2 linked regions of the Pelodiscus sinensis genome follow. The protein of the gene in region 1 interacts with the protein of each later gene in a biochemical or structural test. Links are inferred from orthologs where the notes say so. Each region holds a gene or a part of one and is shown in the gene's direction. Other genes may lie near its edges.

Region 1 (3,745 bases):
TAACAAGATGGTTTATTAGATGATGAGCTTTTGTGGGCCAGACCCATGAAAGCTCATCATCTAATAAACCATCTTGTTAGTCTTTAAAGTGCTATCTAGTCCTGCATTTTGCTTCAGCTACCCCAGACTAACACAGCTACATTTCTATTACTAGCTGATTTGGTTCACTATGGAACAGGAGTGTTAAGGTGGTGATACAGACATCTCATTTGTATTGGACTTGAGAGGATTCTGACTTGCATTTGAGAAATGGAGTAGTAATACTCCACAGACTACCATGCTACATCTCATACTTCCAAGCCCAGTTGACTGAGTTATTTGATACAGTCTAGGAATTACTTAGGCTTCTTATTATGGGTTTATTGCTGATGTCTCCGGAACTGACTGGGAAACTCCTGACAAGCACCAGACCATGTCAGACATTTACTGTTTTAAGATGCAGAATAGGTCCACAATGTATTTTTCGCTGAGACTGAGAAAGTAAATATGTACACCTTTGTCACATTCTCACTAGCATTCTCTTTACATCAGAATATATTTCTGATACTATCAGTGTTATGCAGCCTGACACAGTTCTGTGCAGTTTATGGCTCCCTATCAGTGAAAAACAGCAAGCAAATGGTCTGGTAGCACTTTATAGACTAACAAACATGTAGATGGTATGATGAGCTTTCGTGGGCACAGCCCACTTCTTCAGATGATCAGTTCTTATCAGTGATCAATTCTTATCAACCATTCATATTTGGATGAAACCTGAGTTGGAGAGGTTGACTTTTCCCCTTTTATAACTAAAAGGGCTCCACTGTGCCCTGTTTTAGGGGAACGAGGTTCTATACATTCCTGCTGAAACTGCTGGCATGATTGTTACTAGAAACGATATTGACCAACTTGTGGACTGGGAAACGAATGGCGCTTTAAACGTTCATTTCACTGGACTACGAGCAAAGCATTTGACAAGCAAAGGCGAGAGGCGGGGCTGCCACCTTAAAAGCGACTGCACGTCGCTGTGAACCTCCTTGCCACCTGGCAGCAGTCATTGAGAGTGAGATTAGCAAGGTCTTCTCTCCTCTTCCCTTCGGGCTGTTCCCGCGGGACGCCGCCAGCACTTGCTGCACGGTCCGTCTGGCTGGCTGGCTGGCTACTTCCTCGCCCGGCCAAGCTGCGCCCGTCAAACCCCCGCGTCGGGCGGAGACACCCTACGGCAGCTGCTCCCCGCGCCGCTCTACTATCCCCGGGCGCTGAGCGCACGCGGCCGCTGCTGCCGACAAGCGCCTTGGTCCCACGGCGGGTTCTGGGCGCGGCCTCCCGGCCCTACGACTCCCCCCTCCCCGCTCCTCAATGAGCCACACAGCGCGCGCCTCCTGCCTCAGAAACTAGGCAGGGGGATGGCCCCGCCCCGAGCTTCACATGGGAACCCGCCTACCCCCTCCGCCCTGCTCGACCCCTCCCCATGACGTCATGTGGCACCGCGGCGCGCCTGCGCACAGCGCCCAGTCCCAGTTTTCCCGGGGGGATAGTGGGCGTGGCTCTGCGCGCGTTTGTGGCGAGGGAGGGAAGAAGGTGCCCGCGTGCTTGCTTGGTGGGGGGCGCGCGCGCGCGCGCCTGCTCTCTTGCGTGACGGGGCTGGGGAAGTGGCCGTGGTGGCGCGCGCGCCCGCCGGCCGGCCGGTAAAGCGCTTTATCGCCGCCGTTAGCCCCGGAGTGCGGCTCGGGGTCGCGCCTGCCTCCCCTTCCCCTCCCCCCCTCTCTCTCGCGCGCGCGCACCGCCTCCTCCGCTACCCGGCCCCTGCATGGTGCCCGCTCCGCCCCGCTAGCCGGATCCGCGGCCGGCGAAGGGCGGGAGGGAGCGAGCGAGCGATTGAAGCGGGCGGGGCCGCGGGAGCCCGGAGCCAGCGTGAGGCGCGCGGGGCGGCCGCGGCCCGCAGGAGGAGCGGGGATTCCCGGCGTGGCCGCGGGAGCCCCCGGGCGGCGGCGGCGGAGGCTGGGATCGAAGGTGGTGCCCGACGGGGAGCGCGGAGGGGATCGTGCCCGCGGGCCCCCCTCCCCCGGGCCGCCTCTCCGGCGGGTCCCCCCCCGCCTGGACCATGGCCGACGACGACGTGCTGTTCGAGGACGTGTACGAGCTCTGCGAGGTGATCGGCAAGTAAGTTCCGCGGAGGCGGGGGGCGGCGGCAGCAGCAGCGAGCGGCCCGGCCCCTGCGCGCGGGGAGAGGGATGCTCCGCTCGGCGCCCACCTGAGCCGCCGCCGCCGTGCCCGTGTGTCCCCCGCTCCCCCCGCTACGTGCGGCCGCAGTGGCTTCACGGCGGCGCCCGCCTCTCGGAGCATGGGCGCGGAGGGGAGCAGCGACCCGGTCTCTCTCCTCCGGCCGCCGCGCTCCCCGGCTCCCAGCCAGGCTGCCGAGAGCAGCCGCCGCTTTCCCCAGCCCGGCTCTGTGGAGCAGGGAAAGGCTCCTCCGTAGAACCGCCTCTCCGTGGGGGCATCTGCGCGTTGGGGCGCCAGGTGCCTGCTTGTGCTTTGCTGCATAGTAACCAGCTCGCTAGTGGCAATGCCGGTGATGATACTCAGGTAATGCTCAGCTCCCGTGTGAGCCCCTTGCGTTGCCCACCGCCCGCTCGGAACAACGACGCAGGAAAAGAATTTGGCCTTTTGGGGGCTTATTATGCAACTGCTGTTAAACCGATGTTGAAGGCGTGCATCACACCCAAGTTGGGATAGCTGTTAACGTGGCACCGCTGATGGTTCACCAGTGGGGTAGGATGTATTGAAATTGACAGTTCGAGTCCTCCACCTTTTTTTTTATCGATCTGTGTTGGGTAATTATACTAGAAAAAATGCAGAGACTCAGTCTGATCGGGACGTTGATGGAAAATTGAAGCTGAAGTTCCCCCTCTTCTGTGACAGTCCAGTATTGAAACCCATTTTATCAGTCTTCTCACATTTCATATCTTCAGGGCATAGATGTTTTGGTTGCAAAATGGATATGAAAAGGACATGCACCATATTTGCAGTCTTATAACTTCCTAATTTTATGCATATTTCTTGTTCGAAAATTGAGGTTGTAGGTGTTTCAGCAGTGAAACTGTTTTCATTTTGTTGCTCACTGTTTTTAGAAGCCTTGTGTAAGGATCACTAGTTACAATATATTCTTGATTTAAAAAAAAAGTGTTCTTTTATTTTTTTAATGTTTTGCAATATGACTTACCTTAAATGTCAGTAATTGTTTGATTTGAAAACTAGAGCTAAAATACTCATCTTTCTCCAATGACAGTGTAACTCTGAGGAAACAATCATGTCAGTCTTAAGATCAGATTTCTTTGTTCTTAACTACAAATATTTGATCACTTTTCATTTTATTGTTTATTATAGGGCTCAATTGTCTTAACAGCACCTATTGCCTTTATAAGACACCTTGTCAGCTATAAAGCTTTAAAGAAGCTTTTGTTGGATAGCAGAAAAAATGGCTTAACTAATGCTGATCAGATGGTAAAAAGCTATGGTTAAGAAATTGGACAAAACTAATACCAGTAGGAAGAACATTTTCTGATCATGTGTTGTGTTGTCACAAGATTTCTTCAGGTGATAGTATTGTGTGTGAATTGTAGTACTCATACATAGTTATGGGTAGTAAAAAGGGCATAACAGGCATAATATATGTGTCTAGTGGTTATAGCCAACACTGTAAAATGACTTATTTTGTGTGCAAATACATTATTTAAATTTTCTAAATAGTTTTCTGATTCATGTG
Region 2 (3,745 bases), on another chromosome or scaffold:
CAGGGAGCCCCCCGGTGCACCGACACCCCCATTCCATCCCCCCAGACAGTGCGTCCAGGGAGCCCCCCCGGTGCATCGACACCCCCATTCCATCCCCCAGTCAGCGTGTCCAGGGAGCCCCCCGGTGCACCGACACCCCCATTCCATCCCCCCAGACAGCGTGTCCAGGGAGCCCCCCGGTGCATCGACACCCCCATTCCATCCCCCCAGACAGCGTGTCCAGGGAGCCCCCCAGTGCACCGACACCCCCATTCCATCCCCCCAGACAGCGTGTCCAGGGAGCCCCCCAGTGCATCGACACCCCCATTCCATCCCCCCAGACAGCGTGTCCAGGGAGCCCCCCAGTGCACCGACACCCCCATTCCATCCCCCAGTCAGCGTGTCCAGGGAGCCCCCCCCGGTGCATCGACACCCCCATTCCATCCCCCCGGACAGCGCGTCCAGGGAGCCCCCCAGTGCATCGACACCCCCATTCCATCCCCCCAGACAGCGCGTCCAGGGAGCCCCCCAGTGCATCGACACCCCCATTCCATCCCCCCAGACAGCGTGTCCAGGGAGCCCCCCAGTGCACCGACACCCCCATTCCATCCCCCCAGACAGCGCGTCCAGGGAGCCCCCCCAGTGCATCGACACCCCCATTCCATCCCCCCGGACAGTGCGTCCAAGGAGGCCCCCCGGTGCACCGACACCCCCATTCCATCCCCCGCCCGCCGAGGAGGGGGGCTCGGGTGCCCCCCGTGCGCCCCAGGGCGGGGCAGGAGCCCGCGGCGCAGGGGGTGGTCCCGGCCCGGCCGGCCTTGCACGGGGGGTTCCCGGGCGGGCGCCGCGGCCGCCCGGCTGGGCAGGGAGGAGCCGCCTCGGGGAGGCAGCGGCGAGCCAGCGAGCGGCGCGCGTGCGGCGGCGGCCCCAGCCCAGCCCCGCCATGGAGGAGCCGGCGCGGCGCAGGGGGGCAGGAGCCCTGCACCGGCGCCGCTAGCGGGGAGCGGCCGCGCCCCCAGCCCGGGGCGCCCCCGGGGGCTCCTGCAGCGCGGGCCGCCCCCCGGCTCCCCCCGCCGCGCCGCGCCCGGGCTCTGCGGCGCCCGCGCCTCCGAGCGGCCCCCGCGCCCCGCCCGCCGCAGGCTCGGGGCCCCGCGCCCCGGCCGGAGGATGCTCGGCCTCTGAGCGCGGCCCCGGCCCGCCGCGCCCGGCCGCGCCATGGGCAAGGACCAGGAGCTGATGCAGGCGGTGAAGGCGGAGGACGTGGGCACGGTGCAGAAGCTGCTGCAGCGGCCCAAGCCGGGCAAAGCCAGTGAGTGGCCCCGCGGCGCGGGGCGGGGACCCCCGGAGGCCCGGGGGGGGGGGCTGTGCATGCTCGAGGGGAGCCCCCCCTCTGGCCGGTGTGGGGCTGGGGGGGGCCCTGGCTCCTTGGGATTTGCCCCTCAGTGGACCAGTGTGCGGGGGGAGGAGAGGGGAGCCCCCCTCTGGCCGGTGTGGGGCTGGGGGGGGCCCTGGCTCCTTGGGATTTGCTCCTCAGTGGACCAGTGTGCGGGGGGAGGAGAGGGGAGCCCCCCTCTGGCCGGTGTGGGGCTGGGGGGGGCCCTGGCTCCTTGGTTTTTGCCCCTCAGTGGACCAGTGTGCGGGGGGAGGAGAGGGGAGCCCCCCCTCTGGCCGGTGTGGGGCTGGGGGGGGCCCTGGCTCCTTGGGATTTGCCCCTCAGTGGACCAGTGTGCGGGGGGAGGAGAGGGGAGCCCCCCCCTCTGGTCAGTGTGGGGCTGGGGGGGGCCCTGGCTCCTTGGGATTTGCCCCTCAGTGGACCAGTGTGCAGGGGGAGGAGAGGGGAGCCCCCCCTCTGGCTGGTGTGGGGCTGGGGGGGCCCCTGGCTCCTTGGTTTTTGCCCCTCAGTGGACCAGTGTGCGGGGGGAGGAGAGGGGAGCCCCCCCTCTGGTCAGTGTGGGGCTGGGGGGGGGCCCTGGCTCCTTGGGATTTGCCCCTCAGTGGACCAGTGTGCAGGGGGAGGAGAGGGGAGCCCCCCCTCTGGCTGGTGTGGGGCTGGGGGGGCCCCTGGCTCCTTGGTTTTTGCCCCTCAGTGGACCAGTGTGCGGGGGGAGGAGAGGGGAGCCCCCCCTCTGGCCGGTGTGGGGCTGGAGTGGCCCCTGGCTCTTTGGGATTTGCCCCTCAATGACCCGATGTGCGGGGGGCGGGGGTGTGGTGTGGGGCTGGGATGGCCCCTGGCTCCTTTGGATTTGCCCCTCAGTGGACCAGTGTGCAAGGGTGGGGAGGGGAGATTCCCCCCTCCCAGCTGGGGTGGCCCCTGGGGTCTTTAAAGGCTTGTTGGGATTTTCTCCTCACCAAACCAGTGGGGGGGCAGGGCGTCTCGCTGGGCTTGCACGCCAGAGCTGTCAGGCGGGGGGAGGGGTGCAGGGAGGGGAAAGCGGGCGCTCAGCTCGCCATCCTGCCGGGATGGGGTGTGCGGGCGCCGGCTGCTCTGTGCCACGGCCACTCGGTCCCACGGGCGCCCGCTTGTGCTGCGGCTGCATGCCTGCTAGGGTCACACAGCTGTCTGGCCCTTTCCCCCAGCCGCTCCCCTGCCTTCGGCAGGCTGGGGGGCAGGCCCCCGGATTTGATTGCAGCTGGCTTTGGGGGCAGTGGGGCTGCAGCCCTGCAGGGCCCTGCGCTCTGGGAACCGGGGCCCCGAGTGGCACTGCAGCTGGGTTTTGCCCAAACATGGACACAGGCTTTTCCTGCGTGTTGGGAGCGGGGCTTAGAACTAGAGTCAAGCGCAGAAAATAATTCAGCGCCACTCTCCCCGTCACCCCCTGCCCCATTTATTCCCTGCCTCATGCACCCTCCCCCCCCCGCCTGTCAGGCTCACATCAAGTGGGTGGGAGCGAGATGGAGCAGCAAACCAGGCTGTTTCATTCATGTGTAAGCCCCCAAGCAAGCAACCACTTGTCCTCCCCTTTCCCCCCTCCGGGTTCAAGCCGGAGCCCAGCCCAGCTGGTGGTGCGGCTCTAGTGTTTCAGGCAGGGATGGCAGCAGCAGTGGGTTCGTCCTGGTGCTGAATTAATTGAGGGCGGGGAGAGTTTGAAGTGGAAAGGGGGGAAATGAACCTGCAGCCTTTCGGCAAAGGAGCAGCTCTGGGTGCAGTCGGCTGGAGGCCAAGCAGGGCCCAGCCGGTGGGAAACCTCTAAATGTGGATTGGGAGCGAGGGCGCAGCACAGGCTGGAGCCAGGCAGGTGCTGTGGGGCGCCCCCCCCGCCCCAGTCCTGACCACAGCCACCGGTATAGTCTGGCGATGACCTTTGACCCGAGCTGTGACCCTGCTGGTGCCTTCTTAACCCTGACACCCCCACCCCTAGCTCTCGCTTGGCCAGGCCTCGCTGCTCCAGGCCGGCCCCCCAGGAATTGAAATGGGGGGTGTTCAAATTTACCGGGGGGGGGCTGTCAGGGTCAATGAGGGGTGAGACCGTGAGGGTGAAGGTGGGCTGTATGGCACCATAGTTCACAAAACTGGGGGGGTGTTGGGGAGATTCAGGGGGGTAGGGAAATCCCTGTGGCCCCCCCAACCCAGCTCTGCCATTGCACCATAGTCACGACCTACAGGTGCCCTATCTAAGCCCATCCTGCCCTGTCCAGCAGCAGCTATTTATGCCCAAGCTCTCTGGCACAAACGGCCCTGGGGAGATAAGGAGAGACCCCCTCCCCCCATCATCACATTTGCCTGGTGATCAAAGAAAACCCTGGTCTGATTGTTTCCTGAGGTGCA

The links.
Region 2: the proteins of CASK (region 1) and CASKIN1 interact in a biophysical measurement, tested with the Homo sapiens proteins (2 studies listed by IntAct, with this or other methods). The link is inferred for Pelodiscus sinensis from reciprocal best matches to the Homo sapiens genes CASK and CASKIN1.

Annotation. Positions count from the first base shown.
Region 1 is NC_134711.1:194,356,639-194,360,383, forward strand, and holds the start of CASK (peripheral plasma membrane protein CASK), read left to right. Parts: upstream 1-1,526; 5' UTR 1,527-2,083; coding exon 2,084-2,142; intron 2,143-2,530; exon of another isoform or gene 2,531-2,545; coding exon of another isoform or gene 2,546-2,565; intron 2,566-3,745. UniProt on the Homo sapiens protein: Multidomain scaffolding Mg(2+)-independent protein kinase that catalyzes the phosphotransfer from ATP to proteins such as NRXN1, and plays a role in synaptic transmembrane protein anchoring and ion channel trafficking.
Region 2 is NC_134726.1:38,596,605-38,600,349, reverse strand, and holds the start of CASKIN1 (caskin-1), read left to right. Parts: upstream 1-864; 5' UTR 865-1,194; coding exon 1,195-1,288; intron 1,289-3,745.